Linked DNA regions of Stegostoma tigrinum. The protein of the gene in region 2 interacts with the protein of the main gene of each other region in a biochemical or structural test. Links are inferred from orthologs where the notes say so. Each region holds a gene or a part of one and is shown on either strand. Other genes may lie near its edges. The genes, in order: fbxo18, rad51, tyrosine-protein kinase ABL1-like and sem1.

Region 1 (7,114 bases), on a different chromosome or scaffold from region 2:
TGTGAAATTGCTGCAGTCCACCTTGTAGGTGATCCATGCTGTTGTTTGTGTGATCTAGGTGGAGGAACTGCGTGTTTGAGATTGGAATTGGGATGCCCATTAGTACTTTGTCCTGGATGGTGTCTGGTTTCTTGCTTGTTGTTGGAGCTACACTCATCCAGGCAAGTGTACAGTTACAACATTTAAAAGACATTTGGATAAGCACATGAATAGGAAAGGTTTAGAGGGATTTGGGTCAAACATAGATAAGTGGGACTGATTTAGTTTGTCAGTGTCATTTAGTTGGACCAAAGGGTCTGTTTCCATGCTGTATGACTGTATAAACTCGCTGGTTACCTGGGTCTTTAGCCCTACAAGCATTGAGCCTCCCTGCATCTTGATTTCAAAGTACTCCTCATTTTAATCAATATCACCACTTAAAACAAACAGTTAAACAAGGCTGGGAACTATTTCACTTCTTCAGATCTTAAATAAAGACAACAATATTGAAATAACATCATTATTTTCAAATATTTGTCTTTTTTAGGTTAATTAGTTATTCTTCCAACATTCTACTTCTAAATCCAAACTTTAGAAAATAGCCGAAGTTATTAAACAGAACAGCATACAATTCAAATGTCATTGTATTAAAAAGCAAGGAAACAGGTTTACTCACAAAGAATCATTGTAACATTGCTGCTCCTGTGATTTTGGTTAAACTGTAAAATAAGAAAACAAAATTGAAATTTTAGCAGTTACCGCCCCACAACCATTTTCAAGTGGCTGACTAGACCCTTCTAGCTCCAATGCCAGTCTGTACCAAATCAGCTGGTCACAATTTTACTCCCCCATGGTCAGCTGGTGAACAGTGCCCCTCGGTTAAGAGGTAAGTGGCAAGTGTGAATATAGAGATCCCAACAAGCATTGAGACAAGGCTTGTATGATTGAACAGATATCACACAATTGACAAGCACAGCAAGAACTAATACAGCCCTCAGTGCCTGTGCTGGGTTTCACTTGGAAGAGAGACACAATTATTCCCACATGGCCTTGACAGTTTTTTATTTCCTTTCAAATACTTAGTTAACTTCTGAAAGCTACTACTGAATCTGCCATATCCATCACCCCTTCAGACGACCCTGTTGCAAAGTTAAAGACTCCATAGTTCCAGAGGGCCATATGGATGCTCTCTCAATAGAAAGCGATGATGGATTATAATTAACCTGAGGGCCACCATGCCTCAGGCAAGGGGCAAGGTTGAGAAGGTGGAACATTCATGGTAACCTCAGCCTTTCAGAAACTGAACCCACACTAATGATATCACTCTGCAACGCAAATCAGCTATCCAGCCAACTGAGCTAACTAACCCTGAGCAATTACAGAAACCAACATTAGTTTGAAAATCCCCTTGTTTTAACCTCATTGGCTTGCTTGTCAATTTTCTCCACCATGCAGAATCACAGAAATGTCATGGTCCAAAAGGAGGCCTCTACTGCTTTCCCCCCACACCTTTATATATTATTTTTATCCAAATAATCATCCAATGGTCTCTTAAATACCTCAACATGTTGTTGCAGTTACACAGGGTCTTGGTGAGGCCATACCTAGAATTTGGTCTTCCTTTCTGAGGAAGGATGCTCTTCCTCTCGAGGGAGTGCTGCAAAGGTTTACCAGGCTGTTTCCGGGGATGGCAGCTCTGACATATGAGGAGAGACTGATGACTTTGGAATTGTTTTTGCTGGAGTTCAAATGAATGAAGACGGAATCTCCTCAACACAGGCAGCACGGTGGTTCAGCGGATAGCAGTGCTGCCACACAGCGCCAGGGACCCAGGTTCGATTCCACCCTTGGGTGACTGCCTGTGTGGAGTTTGCACATTCTTCCTGTGTCTGCGTGGGTTTCCTCCCACAGTCCAAAGATGTGCAGGGTAGGTGGATTGACTATGCTCAATTGACCATAGTGTTCAGGAATGTGTGGGTTAGGTGAGTTGTAGGTGAATGGGTCTAGGTGGGATGCTCTGTGGGTCGGTGTGGACTTGTTGGGCTGAAGGGCCTGTTCCACACTGTAGGGGTTCTATGTTCGACACAGACTCATAAAATTCTAACAGGACTGGACAGGGTAGATGCTGGGAAGATGTTCCTGATGGTGGCTGTGTCCAGAACCAAGGGGGTCACAGTCTGAGGATTCAGGGTAGATGATCTAGGAGGGAGATGAGGAGACATATTTTCATCCAAAGAGTGGTCAGTCTGTGGAATTCATTACCACAGGTAATAGTCGATGCCAAAACATCGAATGTATTCAAGAGGCGACCAGGCACTTGGGGGGCAAATGGGATCAAAGGTTATGGGGAGAAAGCAGGATTAGGCTATTGAGTTGGACGATCAGCCATGTTCGTGAAGAAATCCCTGGGTCTGCGTGGGTTTCCTCCCACATTCCAAAAAATGTGCAGGCTCGGTGGATTGGCTATACTAAATTGCCCTGTAGTGTCCAGAGATGTTTAGGTTAGGTGGGTTAGACATGGGGACTGGGTCTGGGTGGGATGCTCTTGGGAGGGGACAAACGGCCTGTTTCCACACTGTGGGTATTCAATGAATTCTATGAATGGCGAAGCAGGCTCCAAGCGCCAAACGGCCTCCTCCTGCTCCTATCTTCTACGTTTCTATGTTATGAAATCTGTCTCCGCCACACTTTCAGGCAGTGCATTCCAGACCCTAAATACTTGCTGTGTGAAAAAAGCTTTTCCTCAGTTCATTCTTACTTCCTTTGCGAAACGCTGGCCTTTTGTTCCTTTTGTGTGTCGGAAACTGCTACACCCTATGCATTCCATCCATCATTTTAAAAACTTAAATCGGATCTGCGCCTTCTTCGCTCCAAGGAGGACATTCCTAATTTCGTCAATCTATCCTCATATTTCAAGTCCCTTCTGCCAGCAACCATTCTTGTAAACCGATCATTTGGGAAACAAGAGTCCGGCTAGAGTTTGGGAAATCCAGCCTTAGGTAGAACTCAGTTTGATATCATGCAAAGGTCTGCACGGGAAACTCCATCTAGGGGAACCTGCTGCTGAGTTAATATGCCACTCACCATATCCAGGGCACTCAATGGTTAAATGATACAAGGTGGAGTGCATGCAAGTTTCTCGCTTTGTTTTTCATCTCTGGGACATATCAAATCCAGACTTATTTCCACCCCAGCTTTAGAGCAATTCCAAACTGCTCAGTGAGTACTTCCGGAGTCTATTCCTCCCTAGATGCTCTCACGGCTACCAGGAACCACACACTTTATTTGCTTGCTGTCTCTGGACGACTACTTAGAAAATCCACGGCTGTCAGTTCGCAATCAGCAGTAGGTGGAATCTTTCTGAGCAAGCGTTGATCTCATTTAAGGACAACTGTCAGCTTTCCGTAGGTTTGTTGAAGCTTCTCTTTCTCCAACTATCTCTCTTTCTGGTGATCTTTTTCGCACCGTTTTCTATATTTCGGAAGCCCCACCACGCTCTTCTGGTTGACATACGCGCTGCAAATACTCGGATACTTTTGAGAATCCCTGCTTTCCATTATCTTCGACTGCAAGTTTCCTGGAAATATTGCCAACTTTTCCCTTCAGATACTGACTCTTTTCTCGGGGATCCCCTGCAAATATTGAGACACTTCAAGGGATTCCCTGTAAATGCTGATACACTTCAGAGGGCCCTTGCATAAAGGGTTCCCCCAAAATGTTTGGTTATCTGAGGGGTTAAAAATGACGGTTCATTCCATATAAACATTTTTAACTGTTCAGAGTTTTTATTTTTAATTGTTTGAAATGCAGGGTGAATCAAATTGCTACTCACAATGATTGCACATAGCTCCAAGAAGTTAGCCGGCCCTGTCTTTTCCCTGATGAGCAATTCTAGCGTTTACCAGCCTAAGGACTCACAGGGAATGTTTTTAGTCGGTCGTTGTTACTCTGGGGGTGGAGCTGGAAGATCTGAGTCTCTGTGAGTGTGTACAGGTTTAAAGAAGGAAGGCAGCTGTGAACAGAGCTCGTGCTTTGTGATTAGGATTAATATTTACAAATAATATCTCAGAGGGTGCATGTAAGCACTGAGGACCTGCCTCTGTGAGGGAGTCTTAGGAGAGAAACTGAGGAAATAAAGATTTGGAGATTTGTATTAGGTTTTGCAGCAAAAGCAGATGAGTTTGTCATCAGATTGTTACAAGTGAGACGTTTTTTCTTGTCAGAGCAATTTCTTTTGAGGATTAAAGCTGATGACTTGTGAAGGCAAAGTCAAGCATCTCATTAGAATAATACAAGAAGGCAGTCTTTCCCATCTCAAAGAGGAACTGGGTAAGGGTGAAGCTGTTCTGGATACAGTGTTGAAGGGTCACTTTGGGAGATCGGGTGACACAGTGCTGCATTATGCTGCCAGGTATGGGCACCTGCCAATCCTGAAATACCTGGTGGAGGAGCTCGGTGCCAACATTGAGCTGGTGAACAGTGATTACAAACGAGCTTTGCATGAAGCAGGGTCCATGGGTCACAGAATGTGTGTGAGGTACCTGCTAGCCCAAGGAGCCAACGTTGACTGTTTGAAGAAAGCTGATTGGTAAGTGGCAGCGCTGTTGGGTAACGGAGAAGAAACTGCTCATCTTTCTCGTTTGCCCGAATTGAAGATTGTCCGCATCATAGGGAGGTGTTGATGTTTGTATTAATGTCATTGGACTAGCAACCCCAAACCTCAGGTTAAAGTTGTCGGGACCTAGGACTTGAATTTCTCTATGGCGCACGGTAGAACTTTAATCCAATAAAATATTTAATTAAAGTCAACCTAATAGTTACCATGAAACCATTGGCAATTGTCATCAAGAACCATCTGGCATACTAATGTCCTTCAGGGAAGCAAATGTGCAGTTCTTACCTGGTCTGGACTATGTGTTTGATTTATTTAAGTTATTTATTTATTACCACATGTATTTTGTTACAAAACACAGTTAGAAGTGTTGCACAGTGTCACCACGCTCTGGTGCCATTTTAAAACACATAAAAACCAAAACATAGAATGTAAATGTAGAAAAATAAAGGAAATGTATTCAGCTTTACAGTACATGGCCCACAGCAACATGCTTGACTAATAACTGCCTTCTGAAATGGCCTAGCATGCCACTCATTTCAAGGGCAATTAGGGATGGGTAAGAAAAACTGAGCTAGTCAGCAGTGCCGTCATCCCAGGAAAGAATTTTTAAAATCTTGAGCTATTCCCCTCCCAGTTGGACAAGGAATGAACTCCCTTTCAGATCAGTTAAAAAAGATGCATACAAATGTATGAATTAGGAGTAGTAGGCCACTCAGCCCCTAAGGTGCGTGGCACTGTACAGTAATATCATAGCTGCTCTGATTACTTCCCATTCCCCTCATCCCAAAAATCTCTTTACTCTTTTCATTATCAAAAATCTGTCTATCCCTGCCTTAAAAATATTCAAAGACTCTGCTTCCACGGTCTGTTGAGGAAAAGACTCATGAGCAACACTATGTGAGAAAAAGGTTTCCCCTTATTTCTGTTTTAAGTGCATGACTCATTATTTTCAAACAGTTCCCCCTCAGAGTGGATTCTTCTATGAGAAGAAACCTCCTCTCCACATCCACCCTGTTAAGACTCCTCAGGGTCTCGTATCTTTCCATCAAATTGCCTCTCACTCTTGTAACCTCTGGCGAATACAAGCCTAGCCTGTCTGATCTTTCATCATAAGACACCCGTTCTAAGTATTTGTCTAGTCAACCTCTCTGAGCTGCTTCCAGCCCATTTACATCCTTAATTAAATAAGGAGACCAATATCAAACACGTAAATAAGCACATAAAAAGATTGCACGTCACTATTTCAAGGAGAAGTTGGAGAGTCCCCTGCAATGTCCTGACCAATATGTAATCAATCAGCCAACATCATTAAAACAATTATCAGGCCATTAATTCAATTACTGTATGGGATCTTCCTATGCACAAACTGAATGCTTCCACTATCACAGGAATAATTATTCTGTTAGTGATAAGTAGTGCCTGCAAAGCATTTAGAAAAGTCTGTTCTTCCTCGGATCTCTTAGATCTACCTGCCTCCGTTTACTGTCTTACTTGAAAGGTAGAATCTCTGACAGTTGCACTATCTCTGTAATGCACAAGAGTGTCAGCCTTTGGCTATGAGCTGAAGAGTGTTCTGAACCTTTTTTAACCCTCTGACTCAGAGGTGGGAGTGTGATTAACTGAGCCACAGCTGATAGCTAGTTGGCATATAAATGTTTGGAAATCCAATGTGGACACAATGGGCCAAATGGCATCTTTCTGCACTAGTAAATCTATCATTCTGTTAACCCACCTTTTCTTTTTGGTCATTAGTAAATACAGATGATTTATTTTCCCTGGTTTATATTCTTGTCGTTTCAATTCACTAGGTTCTGTTAGTATAGAGATTTCTAATTTTGTATGTGAAAGGGTAATGTTCACAATATCAAAACACCAAACATGAAAGTCAATGTTATCATGTGACCGGCCCTTTTGCAGTAACAACTTATATTTTGGTTATAGATAACGTCAATATAGAATTGTTTCGCAGCCATGTACTTACAGCTCTATGACACAAGATGGTGCTTGAAAATGCATTGAACAACAAAGGTGCAAATCATTATGACAAAACTTGAAGCAAAGGCTGAAAATATTGGAAATATTCACTCTGTCAGGCATCTTTTTTGCACAGGAATTCATATTCCAGAGGCAAACCCTTCTTCAAAATGGAACAAGTTAAACTAATAACAGCATTTAAATGTTATGTGGAGGTCCCGGTGTTGGACTGGGATGGACAAAGTCAGAAGTCACATGAAATCAGGTTATAGTACAACAGGTTTATTTGAAATCACAAGCTTTTAAAGCACAGTTCCTTCATCAGGTGAAGCCCTATTTAAATAGCGGGGGTGTGGGGGAATGATAACATTGCAATCCTGCCACAATACTCTCTAAACCCAACATGGCCCCAAATACCCCTCCAAGCAACATCCCTACCCCCAATGCAATCCACATACTCCTCCAAACAACACCCTATACAATGCAACCACTGCCTACACCCACACAACACCCATCCTTCATACACAACATCTCCAAAATGCCCAC
Region 2 (7,454 bases):
ACAACACATCTACTGGTTCACTACCCACTCGGGGTGAGACTTCCTCAAAAAACTCCAATAAAGTACTCAGATACGATTTCCCTTTCACAAAAAGTCATGCTGACTCTGCTTGATTTTCCAAATGTGCTGATGTTGCTTCCATAGTAATTGATCTCAACAGATGTCAGGCTAATCAGCCTAAAGATACCTGCTTTTTGCAGCCCCCTCTTTTTTTTGAATAGTCATGTCACATTGGCAGTTTTCGATTCCTCCACTACTTCTCCTGAATCCAAGGATTTTTGGAAAATTACAACCAATACATTCAGTATCTCTGTAGTTACTTCTTTGAGGATTCTTAGCCTCATTAGTGTGCTAATACTACTTCTCTAATGATGGCAATGGTACTTAATTCCTTCCCTGTATTCTTCTGAGTTTATGAGATGCTTGAAGTACATTCCACTATAAAGACTAACACAAAATATTTCACTCTGTTGCTATTTCTTTGTTCCCTCTAACAGCTAGGAGTATTGTGTATCGTTCTAGAATTGACATTATAGAAGGGATGTAAATACACTGGGGAAGGTTCAGTGGAGATTTACCAGGATGTTGCCTGGGCTGGAGAATTCTAATTATGAAAAGAGATCAGATAAAATGGGTAAAAACTGAAAGAACTGCTGATGCTGTACATCAGAAACAAAAACAGAAATTACTGGAAAACCTCAGCAGGTCTGGCAACATCTGCGAAGAGAAATTTTTTTCAGATTAGATTTCTTACTGTGTGGAAACTGGCCCTTTGGCCTAACAAGTCCACACCACCCCTTGAAGCATCCCACCAAGACCCATCCCCTGATAACCCACACACCCCTGAACACTACGGGCAACTTAACATGGCCGATCCACCTAGCCTGCACATCTTTGGACTGTGGGAGGAAACCAGAGCACCCAGAGAAAACCCATGCAGACACGGGGAGAATGTGCAAACTCCACACAGACAGTCCCCCGAGGCTGGAATCAAATCTTGGTCCCTGGCGCTGTGAGGCTGCAGTGCTAACCACTGAGCCACCATGCTGCCCAATCAGAGTTAACGAGTGATCCTTCCTCAGAATTGTTCTGTAGTTTCTCTTTTTGTTTCAGATAAACTTGAGTTGTTTCCCTTAGAGCAGAGCAGACTGAGGAGACAAACATAATTCAGATAAATAAAATTATGAAAGGCATTGACAGGGTAATCAGGAAAAATACTTTTCCTCTTGCAGGGATCAAAGACTGGGGGCACAGATTCAAAGTAAGGGGAAGGCAATTCAGAGGAGATGTGAGCAAAGTATTTTTTTAAACCAGAGGGTGGTGAGAATCTGGACCTCACTGCCTGTAAGGTTGGTCATGGCAGAAATCCTCATAATATTCAACAAGTATTTAACTGTACACTTGTGATGCTAATGCATATCAGGTGTTGGAAAGTGCAATTAGAATAGTTAGGTTGCTGATGTGATTCAGTGCGCTGAAGGGCATTTTTCCGATGCTACAGCCGCAATCACAGAAAACACAACTAACTACAGACAAGTTATTAACATATATTATGGGAAAAGAATGTAACAGCAGAGCATTTAGAAACTCACACTATAATCAAGCAGCATCAGCTTGCCTTACAAATTTCTTTGCTGATGGTACTAAGGAGTGTAGATAAAGAGGATGCAGTGGATACAATATATGTTTCTCATAAAGACATTTGATAAGGTACTAGCATGGTGAAGAATGTGCTAAATCATCAACAACACAGTTGAGATAAAGGGGATATTATCAGGAAAGGGGATATTATCAGCTAAAGGTTGCTAGTGGAGTGCCAAAATGATCAGTGCCGTAGCCACAATGATTTACAATATACGTTAATGATTTTGGATGATGGAAACAAACATACGATCACTAAGTTTGAGGATGGCACAAACAGGTGGGAAGGCAAGAAGTGCAAATGAACAAGTAGTCTACAGAAGGATACAAATTGATTAAGAAAGTAAGGAAAAACTTGGCAGTTGAAATATAATTCGGGAAAATGTGAGGTTATGCACTTTGGCAGGAATAATACAAGAGCTAAATATTATTCAAATGGGGCAAGATTGTGGAAAGCTGCAGCATAGTGTGAATTAGAGTCCTAGAGCATTAATCACAAAAAACTAGCATCTAAGCTTTGTTAGTAATAAGGAAGGCACAGCCATTCCACTGCAGCAGGCATTACAATGTAGCCAACTTTCGAACTCAAGGCCTTGCTGACGGATTGAAGGCCTCTGGATCGACCCTGTCCCTTGCCCAGATCCTCTCGCACCAGCCTGTCGCCGTTAACAATGGCAGGCAGACGGTGGCCAAAGGACAACAAGCTTTAGTGGGGGGTGAAGTGGGGAGTAAGGGAAGTGTCAACAGGCTCCCGGGCTTATACCCTCCGTCGGAGACCGCGACCCCGCCTCTCTTAAGGAATTCGCTGCTTTTACCTGAAAGGCAGAGGCGGCTACTGTGGCTGTCCGTTAAAGCGGGCACGGTCCGCTCGCTCCCTCTGCGTCTCCACTCGGCTCAACTCTTCCAAAACGCGCGCCACTTCTCAGTGACGCAGCCACGCAAGCCGCAAACGTTCGCGGAGTAAAATGGAGCGTGCGCGTCTGTTGTCGCTGTCTGAGAGAAGAGCGCGCCTAGGCCGAGGACACCGGCCATTTTGGGCAAAGCCGTTGGCCGTCAAGAGCTACCGAGATGAATGGATGAGATGGTCTGCGTTGGTGATGTTGACTGAATAAGACTGCCAGACCCGTATCAAACCTGCTTTTGGTGATGTGGATAGAGTAGACCATATAATCCATTTATGTGATGATGGTGCCACCCTTGGTGTGCCAAGACGTTGACCTTCCAGCCTCACATTTGTGCCATCTGTAAGACTGATTTTTCTTTGTTATCCAGTTAGAATAGTCAAGGTTTTTTTTAAACTAGCGCTGATGCAGTGGACCTTTTTCCTGTGCTGTAGACTGTGCCGTTGTGACTCTGAGGAAGAGTCACTGGACCCAAAACGTTAACTGCTATCTCTCCACAGATGCTGGCAGCGCTGCTGAGCTTTTCCAGTAATTTCTGTTTTCAATTGTTATGACTCAGGCCTCGTTAATTTCATTCGAGGATATTCTTGGGAGAGCATCCAGTGAAGTCATTTGGGTAGAACTGCGAAATAAGAAAAGGGATAATTATCTTATTAGGTACTATAGCACGCCCTCCCCCCAAGTGGTTAGTGGGAAATTGAGAAGCAAATCTGTAAGCAGGTCCCAGATATCTGTAAGGATGGTAGGGTTCTAATGGTAGGGGACTTTAACTTTCCAACTATAGCCTGGGACTACCATTGTATTATGGACTTGGATGGAGAGGAATTTAAGTATATACAAAATTTTCTTCTTGGGTATGCGGATGTACCTTCTAGAGAAGGAGCAAAACTTGACCTCTTCAGAGAATGCTGAGAATTTCTTACATCCATGAGTAGCGGTAAACCTATTCAGAGGATTGTTCTTCCTCTTGCCATGTGAAGATGAATGTTTTGAATCTTAGATTGATGCAGAGTGACTCTCAAGAAACTGTCTCTCCCTCCCCCCTCCACCTTCCCCTCCATCCCAACCATCCGGCTGTATAGGCTCCGGAGGCACAATATGAGATGATGTTCCTCCAGTTTGCGTGTGGCATCACTGTGGCACTGGAGGAGGCCCAGGATGAACATGTTAGCAAGGTAGTGGGAGTGGGTGGGGGAGTTAAAATAGTACCTGTTAAGATGTTGTTGATTACAGCGAACAGAGCACAGATGCTCCGTGAATCAGCCATCCGCTTAACGGAACTTGTGCTTATCCTCAACAACTTTTCCTTTAACTCCTCCCACTTCCTACAAAATGAAAGGGTGGCTATGGGCACCCGTATGGATCCGAGATATGCCTGCCTCTTTGTACGATACATGGAACAGTCCCTCTTCCGCTGTTACACTGTCACCATCCCTCACCTCTTCCTCTGCTACATTGATGTCTGTATCGGCACTGCTTCGTGCTCTCATGAGGAGCTTGAACAGTTAATTAACTTTACCAACACCTTTCACCTCCACCTGAAATTCACTTGGATCATCTCCAATACCTTCCCCCCCCCCCCAACTTCCTGCACCCCTCTATCTCCAGTAACCGTCTCAGCACCGACATCTATTTCAGAAACACCAACTCCTGTAGCTACCTTGACTACACCTCCTCTTGCCCACCCTCCTGGAAGAATGTGATCCCCTACTCCCAATTCCACCGCCTCCAACTGCTCCCAAGATGGATTGTTCCACTCCCAGACATCCCAGATGTTCTCCTACTTCAAGGACCGCAACTTTTCCCCTCTCCTCTTGATCCACAATGCCCCCAACCACATCGCTTACATTTCCCACACTATCCTCAAACACTTCCCTCCAAACAAAAGTAAGGCCAGAGTCCCCTTGGCCCTCATATACCACCCTACCAACCTCCACATCCAGCACATCATTCTCTGCTACTTCTGCCACTGTGACCAACTTCACCGCCAAAGAGATATTTCTCTCCCCAGCCCCATCTGCCTTTCATAGAGCCCTCTTACTCTGCGTCTCCCTCATCCAATCCACAATTCCACCACACCTGGCCCCTTTCCCTGCAACTGCAGGTGCTACGTATGCTCCTACACCTCCCCTTTACCTCCATCCAAGGCCCAAGACAAACTTTCCAAATCCGACGGGGGTTCACTTGTACATCTCCAACCTGGTCTGCTGTATCCATTTCTCCCAATGTGGCCTCCTCTACATCGGTGAGACCAAGTACAGACTTGGTGACCAATTTGTGGAGCATCTGCGTTCTGTATGCTATAATCACAACACCTTCTGGTTGCCAATCATTTTGACTTCCCCTCCCACTCCATTGATGACATGTCCACCTTGGACCTCCTCCAGTGTAACAATGACCCCACGCGCAAACTGGAGGATTAGCCTACACCCCGATGGCCTGAACAGTTTCAAAATCTCCCCACCCTGACCTCATACCACTTCCAACCCTGCCATCTTGACCTGACACAACCTGTTCATCATCTTTCCCACCTATCCGCCCCTCCCTTCCTATTACCTACTACCCCCATGTGTATTCACCTTCCCCCAGCTCCACCCCTCCTCCCTGTATTTATTTCCCAGCTCCTTTCTCAGTCTTGATGAAGGGTGTAAAATTGAAACGTCAAATTTCCTGCCCTCTGATGCTCCATAAACTGCTGTGTTTCTTCAGCTCCATGCTGAATTGACTCTGACTCCAGCATCTGCAGTTCTTGGTATCTGAGTGACTGAAAACCACTAACTGTAATGTATTGAGGTTTTTTGTTTTAAGTCCTTAGATGAAGTGCTAGGCAAGAGTTTATTGCACATGTTAGAACTTTGGATTGAAGTTAGTATTTAGTTTATGCAGTAATGAACATTGCTTCTGCCTAACACTGCTGGGACCAGAAGTACTACCAGCTATTTGATTGATCAGCAGATGTCGAAGCTTGGACTTCCTTTCCCTGAAGGGCAGAAATTCCTCTTCTAGCCAATGTTTTCAGTAGCAGCAGAGCAACTGTTTTTCCCCTGGACAAATTCCCTATAAATCAGAGAAGGGGCAGGGATCATAAACTGTAAAATCCTGCCTTGTGTCCTTAAGAGATAGTAGGAACTGGAAGATAATAAAATGTGAGGCTGGATGAACTGGATGTGGGTTTGCTCGCTGAGCTGGAAGGTTAGGGGGCAGGCAGCAAATGGACACAGACCGTTAGAAAATAGATGACAGGTTAGACAGAGGATCTTGATCGGTGCAGGCTTGGAGGGCCGAAGGGCCTGTTCCTGTGCTGTAGGTTTCTTTGTTTCTTTGTTGTTTGTTTCATTCCAGGTAACATCGTCAGTGACCCTCCGATGAAGCTTCATCGGAGGCTCACTGATGATGTTACCTAGAATGGTGACGAAACGTCTGAAAACTAACCTTCCAGCTCAGTGAGCAAACTCACATCCAGAACCTCAACCTGACCTACAAATCTTCTCAAAACTCGCTAGATAGTAGGAACTGCAGATGCTGGAGAATCTGACGTAACAAGAGCTGGATGAGCACAGCAGGCCAAGCAGCATCACAGGAACAGGAAAGCTTACGTTTCGGGCCTAGACCCTCCTTCAGAAATGGGGGAGGGGAAGGAGGTTCTGAAATAAATAGGGAAAGAGTGGGAGGCGGAAAGAAGATGGATGGAGGAGAAGATAGGTGCAGAGGAGACAGATAGGTCAAAGAGATGGGGATAGAGCCAGTAAAGGTGAGTACAGGTGGGGAGTTAGGGAGGGGATAGGCGGTCCAGGGAGGACGAACAGATCAAGGGGGTGGGGTGAGGCTAACAGGTAGCAGATGGGGGTGGGGCTTGAGGTGGGAGGAGGGGATAAGTGGAAGGACAGGTTATAGAGGAGGGTATGAGATGGGCTGGTTTTGCCATGCAGTAGGGGGAGGGGAGATTTTGAAGCTTGTGAAGTCTACATTGATATCATTGGGCTGTAGGCGTGTCAAGCAAAATATGAGATGCTATTCCTGCGACCTTCAGGTGGCAACGTTGTGGCACTCCACCGACACCCTCATCCACTTAGCCAAACTCGTCCTCACCCTCAACAACTTCGCTTTCAATTTTTCCCATTTCCTACAGGCAAAGGGGGTGGCCAGGGGTACCCGCATGGGCCCAAGCTGTGCCTGCCTCTTTGTAGGTTACATGGATCAATCCCTCTTCCATAGCTACACTGGCCGTAAACCCCACCTCTTCCTCCGTTACATTGATGACTGTTTCGGCACCGCCTCGTGCTCCCACGAGGAGCTCAAACAGTTCATCCACTTCACCAACACCTTCCACCCAACCTTAAGTTCATCTGCACCATCTCTGATACCTCTCTGTCCTTCCTGGACCTCTCTGTTTGCATCTCTGGCGACCACCTGGAAACCAATATCCATTTCAAGCCCACTGACTCCCACAGCTACCTAGAATACACCTCCTCCCACAACCTTACTCCAAAAATGCCATCCCCTATTCCCAATCCCTTGCCTCCGCCACATTTGTTCACAGGATGAGACATTCCACTCCGGAACATCTCAGATGTCCTCGTTTTTCAAGGACCACAACTTCTCCCCTTCATTGGTCGGGAACGCCCTCAATCATGTCTCCCGCATTTCCTGCAACTCATCCCTTGCGCCCCCTCCCCGCAATAACAACCAAAACAGAAACCCCCTTGTCCTCACATACCACCCCACCAACCTCCGGATCCAACGCTACATCCTCCGACACTTCCACCATCTGCAATCCGACCCCATCACCAAAGACATTTTTGCCTCCCCACCCTTATCTGAGGGGACCACTCTCTCCGTAACTCCCTTGTCCGCTCCACAGTCCCCTCCAGCCCCACCACACCCGGCACTTTTCCCTGCAACCACAGGAAG
Region 3 (7,345 bases), on a different chromosome or scaffold from region 2:
ACAAACAGCAGAAAACCAACCCAACAATAAAAACAAAAAGTGCTGGAGAAACTCAAGTTTGGCATCATCTGCTGAGAGAAAAAAGGAGTTCATGTTTTGAGTCCAATATGAATCTTTTTAAGTCCATTTCTGAAGAAGTCACATTGGACTCAAAACATCAACCTCTTCTCAATTCAAAGATGCTGCAGATTTTCCAGCACTTTAACTCCAGATTTCCAGCATCCACAGTATTTTGCTTTTAAGTTGGTTAAACTACAACAATAATCCGTGAATTCAAGTGAGTTTTTAAACTGTTGCCATCTTGTACACTAGTTGTTTCAGTTGCAGTGCATGGGATGTGTTCTTCCTGTGTCTCCACAGTAACAATATTTACATGCTTTAACATACTAGATACTCTGCAAAATGATTTTCACTGCCAATTTGGTGGACAGCCTGTTGGTAATTTTTATTCATTCACTGGATAGACGTGTTGCTGACAGGGCCAATATTTATAATCCATCCTCACGAGCCAGATTGGTTAAAAACTGCAGATTCACTTCCCTAAAGGATATTTGCGAACCAGGCGGTGATTCATGGTCATCTTTACTGCTACACTCACTTTTTCAATTCCAGATTTAGTCAATTAAGTAATTTTAAATTCTTCAGTTGCTGTGGTTAGGGTGGTGGGATTTGAATGTAGGACTCCAAATCATTAGTCCCTGGATTTGGAGTCTGTAACATAACACAATGGTACCATAATTCATTAAGTTTTCTCTTGGTCAGCAATTCAGATAAAAACATAGGCTCACAGATAATACAGAATACTACATCGTTGGAGGTGCTGTCTACTGGATGAAATATCAATCAGGCAGGTGTAAAAGAAACCATGTCACTGTTTTGATGAAGAAAGGCAGAAAAGTTCTCCTTCATGACCTCGTTAATATTATGCCCTCAACTAAAATCATTAAATAGAAAGAACCTGGCTAAACAAAGTAAGAATCTGGCCATTGTCACATTGCTATTTGTGGAGCACTACAGCGGAAGACTGACTATCATATTTAATCCACGTCCATCACAAATGTGTCCAGAACTTTCCAGTCATCCACGTGGTTGTCAAAGTTTCAAACCCATCCGGAAGCAGCTTCAAAATCACCAGCCAGTGAGCCAATCCCAACTGCTGTGCATCATTAAATATGGTCACTCCAGAATGCCCAGCTAACTCAAGGTGTTGGAGTAATCTAAGAGTAGCAAGTGAGGGGTGACCTGATTGAGGTATTTAACATTATGAAAGCATTTGATAGGGTACTCACAGAGAAGACATTGCCACTTATGGCATTTGGGCATAAGTGTAAGACAATCACATAAATCTGATGGAAATTTCTAGAGAAACCTCTTCATCCAGAGAATGGTTGAAATGTAGGATTTACTGTTGCACAGAAAGTATAGATGCATTTAATAGGGAGCAAGAAAAGCACATATAGGAGAAAGGAACAGAAGCATGTGTTGATAGAGTGAGTGCAAGTATGATGGGTATAGGCTCCTGTGCAGCATAAATACCAGCATAGATATATTGAGTGGAATAACCTGTTTATGTGCAGTAGATTGTATGTAATTTGATGCAATGATTACTGCAACTGAAAATCATGGTGCAACTCCCTTGGCAAAAAACACAAGGGACTAAATTAAAGAGTTCCTTTCCATGTTTTCACATTATACATTTAGGATGTTCTTTTCTCCTGAAAGTACTCCCTCTAGGTTCAGCATCACTTTCAAGTATGCCATTTCCTCTATATCCACCTGTATTTCAAAAACAATACTACTCACCGGTGGACCTCTCAGATTTCTTCTTTATAAATTTTTGATATAACTGTGCAATTGAAGAATCTCTAGCAATAGTGAGTAAAGAATTTCATATACACTAAACTCAAACCTGGTGACTGATGCACCTTTTGCTCTTCCACTCATCCAATAAACTGTCGCAGCAACAGGCTGAGAAATACAACAAACATTTAAAACAAACAACCACCACACTAGTTACACAATCAATGGCACAAGTTGACAATTTTCAGCAGTTGATGAAATCGAATGTAGTGGTCACCAAAGACATCAACGGAAATCTCAAAATTCTGGTAGAAAAAAGGCTATGAAGTAAGTTTTATGCTGCTAATTTCCAAGTGTGACATATAACCCTGATCCCATTCCCTATCCCACGCAATGAAGCATATTTTGGGTTGATTGATTTTACTAGCTTGTAATGTTTATTTTTTTGCTTGATGAAGGGAATGCCAGCAACAATCAAGTGCATCCAATGATCAGATATCTCCTTACCGTGCTCCACAAACACATTGAAATGCTGAGCTCCATGTTTGGATGCCTCTCGCTTTCCTCCTTTGATAAAGTGCAGCGCAGGCAGTGTCGGCCTTCTTTGGTCCGCAAGAACTTTGCCTGGTTGTTGCCCCATAAATTAATCCACTCCAGGTCCAAGCAATAATAAAAATATATATATATACAAAAAGAAATACTCTTTCTACGGCTGGAAGTGGTGGGCAAGAGGAGGAGGAGGAGGAGGAAGGGGTGAGGGAAGTGAGTGCCCACAGAAGGAGACACACTGGGGTCGGGAGGACGGCAGAAAGTTAGAAAGCAGGGACGGGGCTATTAAGAAAGTGGGGAGCAGAGAAGGGTCACGACCTGAGGCAAACAGAGGGGGAAACACAGGTTAGGCTCCAGGGATAGGAACATAGGGGTGGGGGAAGAAGCGTCCAGGGGGCTGGGAGGATGGGTCAAAGCTTAGAGATCTGGAAGGGAAAGTGGGGGGGGGGGGTAAAAAGGCTCAGAGAAGTTGGGGGGGACGTGATTGTCTCAGCCTTGGGGCAGGCAGAAGTTAAAAGGCTGGGGTCAACTTGGGGTCACGGGCTGGGGGGGGTCAAAGTTCCCACTTCGGAGGGGGTTGTGTCGGGGGTGGGGGGAGGGGAACAACCCTCCGGCTTCCCTCACGGGGCGCTGTTTCGGGACCAGTCAGTTCCCGCCAGACCCCCCCTCACTCATTTTTTTCTTCACTCTCCCCCCCACCCCCCGCCCTCCCCACCGCCTGGGGATGTGTTGGGTGGGCGGGGACACGCAGGAGTCCTTGGGCTGGAAGCCGACGCCGCTGCTGCCGCCGCCACTGCTCCCCGTCTCTCCCGCTCTCTCACTTGGAGGCATCCGCCATGTTCGGGGCAAGCGGAATGAGGCCACGCACCGTGCGCCTGACGTCCGCGCGTCCCCTGACGTCAGCGCGTTGGGCATGGAAGGCGGAGCCTACGGTGCATCGGGTGGGCGGGGTCACATGGGAGGCGGGGGCGGGTTAGAATGGGGGTGGGGTTTTGGGGTCAGACAAGGGGTTGGGTACAGGGGTCAGAGTTGGAGTGAGGGGATGGGGGAGGAGGTCAGAGAGGGGATGGGGAACAAGGGTCAGAGTGGGGGTCACCGAAGGGGTGTGAAATAGGGATCAGGGTGGGGGTTGGGACAGGGGTCAGAATGGTGTGGGGAGTAGGTGTGAAGGGGGATGGGGTGGGGGTCAGAGAGTGGGTGGGGAACAGGGATCAGGGTGGGGGTTAGGACATGGGTCAGTGGGGTGGGGAATGGGATCACGGTGGGGGTTGGAACATGGGTCAGTGGGATGGGGAACGGGATCACGGTGGGGGTTGGGACATGGGTCAGTGGGAAGGGGAATGGGATCAGGGTGGGGTCAAAGCTTAGAGGTCTGGAAGGGAAAGGAGGGGTAAAAAGGCTCAGAGAAGTTGGAGGGGCGGTGTGATTGTCTCAGCCTTGGGGCAGGCAGATTCCCCATCCCACTGACCCATGGGGTTGGAGAGTGTGTCAGAGAGGTTGGGGGCCAGAGAGCTGGGTGGAGAACAGGGGTCAGAATGGAGATCAGAGAAGGGGCTGGAAATAGGGATCAGGATCAGGGTTGGGACAGGAGTCAGAGTGGAGGTGGAAAACATGGGTCAGAGTGGGGATCAGAGTACGTGTGCAAACAGAGGATAGAGTGGATCATAGTAGGTTTGGGGAACAGGGGTCAGAGTAAGAGTGGGTGGTTCAAAGTTGGAGTGGGGGCATCAGGGTATGAATGTCAGTGTTGGAGTTCGGCGTGGGAGTGCAGTGGGACAATAGTGTTCAATTGGGGGTGCCAGGTTGGGAATGAAGTGCTGGGATCAAAGGGTAGAAATGGAATTGGAGGGCAGAGAGAATGGGAGTTGCAGAGTCAGAGTGGAAGTGGGGAACAAGGTTCAAAATTGGAGTGGGGGTGCAGAGTGAGGAATGGGTATCATAGTGGGTTTGGGGGTCAGCATACAAGTGGGTGTCATAGTAGGGGTGGGGAATAGCAGTCTGAGTGGGGTAAGACATAGTGGGGGTGTCAGAGTAGGGTGGGTTATGGGGATCAGAGTGGGAGTGGAGGTTCAAAGTGGGATAAGGGTGTTAGACTGCAGGTGAGGGTGGGTCAGAGCAGGAATGGGAGTAAGTCAAAGAGGGAGTGGAGTCAGAGTAGGAATGGCAGTGGATCAGAGTGGGGTGGTGTTGTGTCATAGTGGGAATGGGTCAGAGTGGGGTTGGGGGTAGGGTCAGAATGAGAGTGGGTCAGAGTGGGCATCTTCTCCAAAATGACCATGAGAACAACTTCATCTCCTTCCTCGGTGCCCTGTCCCTGACAGTGATAGTGCAAATTTGTTTTGTATGTTTACACGTTTTTGCTTCATCCTTTCCGAAGACATACTTTTAGCCACACTATAGGAAGGATGTTGACTGCACAAGAGACAGTGCAAAGGAGATTTGCCACTAGCTAGACTAGGTTCCATTTCCAGAATTATTATTTGAATTCAAATTCCACTAGCAAACATTGAGGGATTTGAATTCATGTCCCTAGATATGAACCTCTGGACTAAAAGCACTAGAACCATATCTCCCTAAATTTTATTGCCTTTGGAGAAGTGTTAGCAGGTTGGTTAGTGACCTGTTCAAACCATACACATGTCTGGACTGGGACTTGAAACCAGAGCTTTTGGCTGCAAGACCGGAGCATTACTATTTGAGTTAGACAGCCACCTGAATGGGCCAAAATGAAAAAGGTGCTTAAGGGAGTTTGTCAGAACAAGAAGAAGCCATTCAGTCCATAAATCCCATACTACTATTTGAAAGGATTATGGTTGATCTGTGATCTAATTCTATTGACCCACCATTGCCCCATATTCCTTAATAACTTGCATAAACAAAAATCTACCAGAATTCCAATTAAAATTAGCTATCACACTAGCATCAACTTACATTTGATGCAGAGAATCCCAAACACCTGGCAGGTCTGACTCTGATTTTTAGATGATATCCCCTAGCCCCAATTTCACAACCAGCAGAAATAGTTTATATCAAAGAAAGAAACACTTGTATTTATAGCAGCCCTTTATAGTAGCACCCTACTCTGACACCCCCACTATGTCTTACCCCACTCAGACTGCTATTCCCCACCCCTACTATGACACCCACTTGTATGCTGACCCCCAAACCCACTATGATACCCATTCCTCACTCTGCACCCTCACTCCAATTTTGAACCTTGTCCGCCACTTCCACTCTGACTCTGCAACTCCCATTCTCTCTGCCCTCCAATTCCATTTCTACCCTTTGATCCCAGCACTTCACCCCCAACCTGGCACCCCCAATTGAACACTGTTGTCCCACTGCACTCCCACGCCGAACTCCAACACTGACATTCATACCCTGATGCCCCCACTCCAACTTTGAACCACCCACTCTTACTCTGACCCCTGTTCCCCAAACCCTTGCGGCCACACTTGGAGTATTGCGTACAGTTCTGGTCACTGCATTATAAGAAGGATGTGGAAGCTTTGGAAAGGGTGCAGAGGAGATTTACCAGGATGTTGCCTGGTCTGGAGGGAAGGTCTTATGAGGAAAGGCTGAGGGACTTGAGGCTGAGAGAAGAAGGTTAAGAGGTGACCTAATAGAAACATACAAGATGATCAGAGGATTAGATAAGGTGGACAGTGAGAGCCTTTTTCCTCAGATGGTGATGGCTAGTACGAGGGGACATAGCTTTAAATTGAGGGGTGAAAGATATAGGGCAGATGTCAGAGGTAGGTTCTTTACTCAGAGTAGTAAGGGCGTGGAATGCCCTGCCTGCAACAGTAGTAGACTGGCCAAGTTTAAGGGCATTTAAATGGTCATTGGGTAAACATATGGATAATAATGGAATAGTGTAGGTTAGATGGGCTTCAGACTGGTTTCATAGGTTGGCGCAACATCGAGGGCCGAAGGGCCTGTACTGCACTATAATGTTCTATGTTTTATGACCACAGGATGTCCAAAAGCACTTTACACCTCATGAAGTCCTCTTGTAGTCTGGCAGCTTTTGTAACGAAGAAATGCAGTGGATAATTTGCACACTGAAAAAATCCTACAAATAGTAATGTGATTATGATCAGATTTTTGTGTTGTGGATTAGGGAATAAATATTGGTCAGACATTGTGAATACCATGATTTTCTTTGCAACACTGCCTAGGGATTTGTTTATGTCCACCAGCGAGGGCAGGAAAGGCCTCAAAATCAAAACCCAGCACTTCCGACATTGCAACACTCCCTCAGTACTGCACTGCATTATGTGCTCAACCATCTGACCCAGAGGTAACAGTTCTGCACTGACTCCAGTCCAGCTTATACCTTGCCTTCATTCTGAAAATTTCAATCGAATCACATGCTTTAACTTTCTGAGTTCAGGAGATATGGCCCTAGTTTGTGTAATTTCTTCCAGTAATTTAGTCCTTGATATCCAGGTATCATTCTAGTAAACCTACATTCCACCCCTCCAAGGCCGAATGCCCACCCTAAGGCATGGGTCCCAGATATGCTCGTAGTTCAGGTGTTTGTATAACTGGGGCTTTGTATAACTGTTGTTAACTTTCTCCACCTTGTACGTTGCCTGTCTAGAGATAATGGCCACCATGACCTTAGCTTTTTTGATTATTTTTGTTTTAACTTTCCCGACGATTTGCAGATCAATGGACAAGGAAACGTTTTGGGCCTCCACTGTTTCTAGCTTTACACCAGTTAGAAAATACCCTGTTCTATTCTCTTTAGGTCCATAGTAGATTGTCTCAATTTGCCTGCATTGAAACCCATTTGCCACCACTCTTCTTTTTCACTTAGTCTAGCGGTATGTGTGACAACGTTACACTACCAATCTAATGTCATTGCTATCTCCTCATCTAAGTCATGAATACATAGTGTGAATATTTGAAATTGCAGTATTGATTTTACAGCCTCAACATCTGCTGTTCAATCCAGAGGTGCCATACACTCTGGGTACGGATAACATCC
Region 4 (7,127 bases), on a different chromosome or scaffold from region 2:
GGCCCCACACTCAACAGACTGTAGCACCAAGGAGCCCTGGCAAAACAGGGGTCAATGGGTATTGGAGAAAACTCTGAACTGGTTGGAATTATATCAGGCACATATGAAGATGGTTGTAGTTGCTGAAGGTCAGTCACCACAGTTCCAGGTCTTTTCTCCAAGAGTTTCTCAGGGCAACTCAGAGTTGGGGGTACAGGAAACTTTGTTTTAACTAGCACCTTATGAACCAGCAGTCTCAATAAACTGGCCAAAATTACCTGAATTACAGAACGTTTACTGCATCTCTGATGTCCAAGTAAGCGGTTGAGGGTGCAAATGAGAAGCTGGTAAGTTTTAAGGCAAAACTGCTTCATTATTTACAAGATTTATGTTGTAAATAAAGTAAAACAGTGCGGTGTATACGCCCTGCATTACCTGTCTATTACTTTAGTGTTTGTTTTCACATTGATTATGTGGACTTCTTGATCAACTGGAATATTTAATCGACTGGCACACTTCTGGTGCTGGTTAATAAAACCTTTTTTTTCGTACGTACTTGTACCCATTACCTTGATCTTCTAACCTACACTACTGGTCAGAGATTGGAAGATGTTCTCAGAGAAACCTGGCAAGCTGCTGCTGTGTATATTGTCGATATCACACTGCCTGTGCACCAGTGGTGGAGGAAGTGATTCCCTCATGTGGTAGATGGGATACAGTCAAATGAGCCTCTTTGTCCTGCACTAAGTCAGGTTTCTGGAGTGCTGCTGGATCTGTACTCTGCCAAGCAACAAGACAATACGTGTCATGCTGCTGACTGATGCCTCATAGAATGTGGGCAGTCTTTGGGGAAATCAGGAAATGAGTTACTTGCCACAAACTTCCAGCCCCTGACCTGCTCTTACAGCTGCAATATTCATGTCCCATTAAGTTTTTGATCAATCATAATACATAACATGTTGACAAAGAAGATTCAGTAATGGTAATACTGTTGAATGTCAAAGGAAAGTTAGATACCCTCTTGTTGGAAACTGTCAATGCCTGGCTCTTCTGCAACCAATAGGTAACTTGGTTGTAAGCAACACCATCCAGTTCTTGCTGCATGCACAATCTGGGCTGTAAATGGCAAGGATCCTTGGTGAAGTAACCAGCAATGACAGTGACTAGAATACAGCTGAACAGCTGCTGCCAAAGTGCCTTTATGCTGAGAAGCTAGGGCTCCAATACCCACATTCACATTTGTACTTGGCACAATTTCAGCCAGTAGTGAGCAACACCATCTTAGCCTGACCCCACCCCTCCTCGATTGTTGCTGACTTTGATTTTACTGTAACTCCTTTATCACATGTAATCAACTGTTGCCATTCAGTTCAACATTTTACCTGCCATTTTGATCTACTCTCTAGCCTAATTACCGTATCCATTTCTCTTCTGAAGTGTCCAGGGATTTGTAGTGTTATGCGCTATATAAATCCAAATTTTTGTATGAAAAAGAATGCTCTGACTTCGTCACTGGGAGGTATGCATTTATCTAATAATAGGCTCACACTTTACAGTAAAAAAACAAAAGAACTGCAATGCTGTAAATCAGGAACAAAAACACAAGTTTCTGGAAAAGCTTAGCAGGCCTGGCAGCATCTGAGAACAAAAAATAATCAGTTAACATTTCAGGCCCAGTGACCTTTCCTCAGTTCTGAGGGTTAGTATTGTCCCATTATTTCAAAATCAAATTACTCTCAGCGTTATCACCAGTCACCAAGTTTTAAGGCAAATCTTGTGTGGTAGTTTTATTAGAAGCATCTAGAATCAACGGAAGCTCCAGATCAGAATGTTAATGCACTAAAAACTAAACTGCTGGTCACTGAATGGCTATTACAAAGAGAAGCTCATCTGTTGTCTACTCCACTTGATTACTGGCAAAATCTGTAGAATAAAAGATTATGTCCATAGAAACTGTACATTGGACCTGTCACCAAAACTGAAGCACCATCATTGGTAGCCTAGCCTGTATGGCATGGAAGAAACAGGGTGGTTTGAATACTTGCCCTTAGTGCCTCTATTCTAGCCTGTGTCACCACACTCAGAGCCTCCAACCCCAGTCTGCTCTGGCTACGCTGATGACTTGTACCCACTGCTCATTTGGACGAGAGTCAAGGCCTATCATCAGGGCTGCCTGTCACCTGGATGGGTCACAAAACAAACACGAGATGCTTCAGGATAACAAAAGTGTGAAGCTGGATGCACACAGCAGACCAAGCAGCATCTCAGGAGCACAAAAGCTGACGTTTCAGGCCTAGACCCTTCATGAGAGGGGGTCTGGGCCCAAAACGTCAGCTTTTGTGCTCCTGAGATGCTGCTTGGCCTGCTGTGTTCATCTAGCTTCACACTTTGTTATCTTGGATTCTCCAGCATCTGCAGTTCCCATTATCACGAGATCCTTCAGGAAGCAGGTACCTGAACACAGGGGAGCCCATTCTGGCTACTGTACCGGGGGTAGCCCACTGTCGAGAATACCAAACAGTTCAACTTGTGCTCTCTGGTACCAGCTTGGGGCTAATCAAAAATCATAGGTGGACTAGCGAAAACTTTTCAAAAACACATCGCAAGTTTACTTGGAAGGAGGTTGCCTTTGATCGCAGTAACTGGGCAGTTAAGAGAGAGCACCGGGCCCGTTACAATGGTGAGCACTCCCTGAGCTACTTCTGAATCGGGGTGAGACGAGAGTATCGTTATGAACCCCCAATCGCCCCGGGCTGAGGGCCGAACATGTCCCTCCTGTAGCCCTCACCCCTCTATCGCTCCCTGCGGCTCCGCCACGTGAAGACCCACACTAGGCCGCAAGCCCGGGACTGAGGGGCCAGACAGGAACACCCAGAGGAAATGTCCGAACGGTACTCACCTTCGGCGGGAAACTCCTCAAACTCATCGTCCTCCTCCAACAAGCCGAGGTCAACCGGCGCCTTCTTGTCCGACATGATTCAGCAGAACAGCCGAGGGGAGGACTGTGGTACGCTGTGACGTCAGAAACTATCGGGGGCGGACCTTCTAGAGGCTCCGCCCACAATCTGATGCTTCGCTTTTCTCTGAGCACTTAGATATAGTGCCTGTATACTGGCACTGCCTCTTTCATTATATCACATCTTTATGTGCGTATCTTTTCATCAGTGTTTGTGGGTTACATCCAATCGATGAAGTGTTACAGCATAGAAGAAGGCCTTTCAGCCCATATTCTGTACACCAGTTCTCCAAATGAGCATTTCACCAAATGCCTTCTTCCTGCCCTATATGTCATGTAAATGTCCTAGTTGAACCTGCCCGCCACTATTGAGATCGCATATTGCCTAAGTAAAACATTTCTTCATGTCACTTTTGCCTCTTTAGTTAATTACCTTAAATCTTTACCTTTACGGCTGGAAATATCATCTCCCTGTTTACTCTGTCCAGACCTGTTGTGACATTGTCTTCTTCCAGCACGTTCCTGTCAATGTTGTCTTCTCCAAGGAAAACCCTCCAGCTTCTTCAATATCTTCATAGCTAAATTCTACATCCCTTGAGCCATGCCCGTAAATCTCCTTTGCACTCTTTCCAATGCCTTTGCATCCTTTCTAATGTGCAGCATCCAGTACTGGATGTAAAACTCCAGCTGACAAAGCCTCACTGGACTCAAAAAGTTTTCCATTTTTTTCCCACTCAGAAGAATGAAGAGTTGAAAGAAATTAGCTGTTGTGGAAAGATTGTACTGGACACATTAATGGGGTGGCAAGTTGATAAATCCCCGGAACTCGATAGTATATGTCCCAGAATGTTCAAGGAAATGACTATAAAGATATGTGATGCAATGAAGATTATCTTCCAAAATTCTATAACTTCTGAATTGATTTCAGGGGATTGAGAGGTGACAAATATCAACACACTATCTAAGAAGGAATAAATAGACACCTGATTAATAATGTATCAGTGATACTGGGAACTGCAGATGCTGGAGAATCCAAGATAATAAAATGTGAGGCTGGATGAACACAGCAGGCCAAGCAGCATCTCAGGAGCACAAAAGCTGACGTTTCGGGCCTAGACCCTTCATCAGAGAGGGGGATGGGGCGAGGGTTCTGGAATAAATAGGGAGAGAGGGGGAGGCGGACCGAAGATGGAGAGAAAAGAAGATAGGTGGAGAGGAGAGTATAGGTGGGGAGGTAGGGAGGGGATAGGTCAGTCCAGGGAAGACGGACAGGTCAAGGAGGTGGGATGAGGTTAGTAGGTAGATGGGGATGCGGCTTGGGGTGGGAGGAAGGGATGGGTGAGAGGAAGAACAGGTTAGGGAGGCAGAGACAGGTTGGACTGGTTTTGGGATGCAGTGGGTGGAGGGGAAGAGCTGGGCTGGTTGTGTGGTGCAGTGGGGGGAGGGAACAAACTGGGCTGGTTTAGGGATGCGGTGGGGGAAGGGGAGATTTTGAAACTGGTGAAGTCCACATTGATACCATTAGGCTGTAGGGTTCCCAGGCGGAATATGAGTTGCTGTCTCTGCAACCTTCGGGTGGCATCATTGTGGCACTGCAGGAGGCCCATGATGGACGTGTCATCTAAAGAATGGGAGGGGGAGTGGAAATAGTTTGCGACTGGGAGGTGCAGTTGTTTGTTGCGAACTGAGCGGAGGTGTTCTGCAAAGCGGTCCCCAAGCCTCCGCTTGGTTTCCCCAATGTAGAGGAAGCCACACCGGGTACAGTGGATGCAGTATACCACATTGGCAGATGTGCAGGTGAACCTCTGCTTAATGTGGAATGTCATCTTGGGGCCTGGGATAGGGGTGAGGGAGGAGGTGTGGGGGCAAGTGTAGCATTTCCTGCGGTTGCAGGGAAGGTGCCGGGTGTGGTGGGGTTGGAGGGCAGTGTGGAGCGAACAAGGGAGTCATGGAGAGAGTGGTCTCTCCAGAAAGCAGACAGGGGTGGGGATGGAAAAACGTCTTGGGTGGTGGGGTCGGATTGTAGATGGCGGAAGTGTCGGAGGATGATGCGTTGTATCCGGAGGTTGGTGGGGTGGTGTGTGAGAACGAGGGGGATCCTCTTTGGGCGGTTGTGGCGGGGGCGGGGTGTGAGGGATGTGTTGCGGGAAATACGGGAGACGCGGTCAAGGGCGTTCTCGATCACTGTGGGGGAAATTTGCGGACTTCACCAGTTTCAAAATCTCCCCTTCCCCCAACGCATCCCTAAACCAGCCCAGTTCGTCCCCTCTCCCCACTGCACCACACAACCAGCCCAGCTCTTCCCCTCCACCCACTGCATCCCAAAACCAGTCCAACCCGTCTCTGCCTCCCTAACCTGATCTTCCTCTCACCCATCCCTTCCTCCCACCCCAAGCCGCATCCCCATCTACCTACTAACCTCATCCCACCTCCTTGACCTGTCCGTCTTCCCTGGACTGACCTATCCCCTCCCTACCTCCCCACTTATACTCTCTCCACCTATCTTCTTTTCTCTCCATCTTCGGTCCGCCTCCCCCTCTCTCCCTATTTATTCCAGAACCCTCACCCCATCCCCCTCTCTGATGAAGGGTCTCGGCCCAAAACGTCAGCTTTTGTGCTCCTGAGATGCTGCTTGGCCTGCTGTGTTCATCCAGCCTCACATTTTATGAACCTGATTAATAATGGTCTGATTAAACATTGTCAGCATGGATTTGTGACTGGAGAATGGCATTGGATGAAGTCATAGAAGTTATTTGAAGATGAAAATTGACAAAGGAGAGCCAATGGACCAAATACACTTAAATTTTCAGAGGACTTTTAATAAAGTTTTCCACAGGAGGCTGGCTAAAACAATTAAAACACGTGGGAAAGGAGTAATGTACTCACAGAAAAGAAAGGGAATTATTGGTGATTCTTGTGTTGGTAAGCTGTGACTGGTCAGGTACTGTAAGGATCTGCACATGACCCCCAGCTGTTCACAATAAATATTAATGATTTGGAGTTGGAGACCAAATATAATACTTCCAAATTTGCAGATGGTACCAGCTAAGTGAAAATGTTCATTACAAGGAGCTAAAAAGTGTCTTCAGGAAGATTTGGACAGGCTTACCGAATGGGCAACAACATGGCAGATGGAATTGTAATGCGGTAAAATGCGAGATTATCCACTTTGGTAGGAGAAATAGATTTGTAATGTATTTTTTAAATCGTAAGTGGTTGGAAAGTGTAGATGTACAAAGAGACCTAAATATCTTTGATAAGTCACTGAAGGCTAATGTGCCTGTGCAGCAACCAATAGGAACGCTAATGGAATGCTAACCTTTATTATAAGATAATTTTGGGTATAGGAGTACTGAAGTCTTGCTTCAAGATAGTGACAAGCTAATTCTACTGGATACTCACTCTGGTTTCCTTATTGGTTTTCCCAACATCTAGCTTGTTCAGTGGTTTTGGTAAAAAAGAAGTCTGAATATTAATGACGTGAGTTGTGATGTTAACAAGGTGGTTAACAAATGTTTAACCCCATCATAACAGCATAAAAGATGGATTAAGACGATCTCAATATCAAAATGGGCCTTTTCACACATATTCCAGATTCTGCCACACAGCTCACCATAGCTAATATCATTCAGATTTCCTCTCAAACTTTTCCATATGCTTCCACAGAGTTTCAAATAGTGAAGCTGATTTTTAAATAGGGATCCTTAATTTACAGTCTTCCATTAGAGGAAGCATCCAATTCATATCTTCCCTGTCAAGACCCCTCAGGATCTTACATGTACCAACTAAGTCACCTCTTACTCTTCTAAACATTAGCAACAGCATTTCTTATAGGTTAACTTGCCTATTCTGGGGATTGGTCCAGTAAACCACACCATTCTGTACATCCCTGGACACTACAGGGCAATCTTTAAGCATAGCCATGTCTTTGGACTGTGGGAGGAATCTGGAGCACCCCAGGCAGACACAGAGGCTAATCCCCACAGTCACCATAGCTGGAATCAAAACTGGGTCCATAGTGCTGTGAGGCAGCAGTGCTAAGCTAATCACTGTGCCACTATGCTAGTTCTTGGACTTTTGGAATTGCAATAACAAAATGCACATGCCACCGAGTTGGCTCAACCTCACATTTGTTCATGTATTGAACTCGCAAGATTCTCTACCCCGTACAAATCCTCCTGTGACCTGTCTG

Evidence for each region.
Region 1: the proteins of rad51 (region 2) and fbxo18 form a complex in vitro, tested with the Homo sapiens proteins (2 studies listed by BioGRID, with this or other methods). The link is inferred for Stegostoma tigrinum from reciprocal best matches to the Homo sapiens genes RAD51 and FBH1.
Region 3: the proteins of rad51 (region 2) and tyrosine-protein kinase ABL1-like form a complex in vitro, tested with the Homo sapiens proteins (2 studies listed by BioGRID). The link is inferred for Stegostoma tigrinum from reciprocal best matches to the Homo sapiens genes RAD51 and ABL1.
Region 4: the proteins of rad51 (region 2) and sem1 form a complex in vitro, tested with the Homo sapiens proteins (2 studies listed by BioGRID). The link is inferred for Stegostoma tigrinum from reciprocal best matches to the Homo sapiens genes RAD51 and SEM1.

Annotation. Positions count from the first base shown.
Region 1 is NC_081378.1:11,774,633-11,781,746, reverse strand, and holds the start of fbxo18 (F-box DNA helicase 1), read right to left. Parts: upstream 3,019-7,114; 5' UTR 2,807-3,018; coding exon 2,738-2,806; intron 1,653-2,737; exon of another isoform or gene 1,584-1,652; intron 699-1,583; coding exon 656-698; intron 1-655. Other genes in the region: ankrd16 (ankyrin repeat domain-containing protein 16), read left to right, coding at 4,230-4,567. UniProt on the Homo sapiens protein: 3'-5' DNA helicase and substrate-recognition component of the SCF(FBH1) E3 ubiquitin ligase complex that plays a key role in response to stalled/damaged replication forks.
Region 2 is NC_081363.1:81,845,206-81,852,659, reverse strand, and holds the start of rad51 (DNA repair protein RAD51 homolog 1), read right to left. Parts: upstream 3,014-7,454; 5' UTR 2,457-3,013; intron 1-2,456.
Region 3 is NC_081382.1:41,442,835-41,450,179, reverse strand, and holds the start of tyrosine-protein kinase ABL1-like, read right to left. Parts: upstream 3,016-7,345; 5' UTR 2,441-3,015; coding exon 2,308-2,440; intron 1-2,307. UniProt on the Homo sapiens protein: Non-receptor tyrosine-protein kinase that plays a role in many key processes linked to cell growth and survival such as cytoskeleton remodeling in response to extracellular stimuli, cell motility and adhesion, receptor endocytosis, autophagy, DNA damage response and apoptosis.
Region 4 is NC_081355.1:83,549,992-83,557,118, forward strand, and holds the start of sem1 (26S proteasome complex subunit SEM1), read right to left. Parts: upstream 3,021-7,127; 5' UTR 2,955-3,020; coding exon 2,879-2,954; intron 1-2,878. UniProt on the Homo sapiens protein: Component of the 26S proteasome, a multiprotein complex involved in the ATP-dependent degradation of ubiquitinated proteins.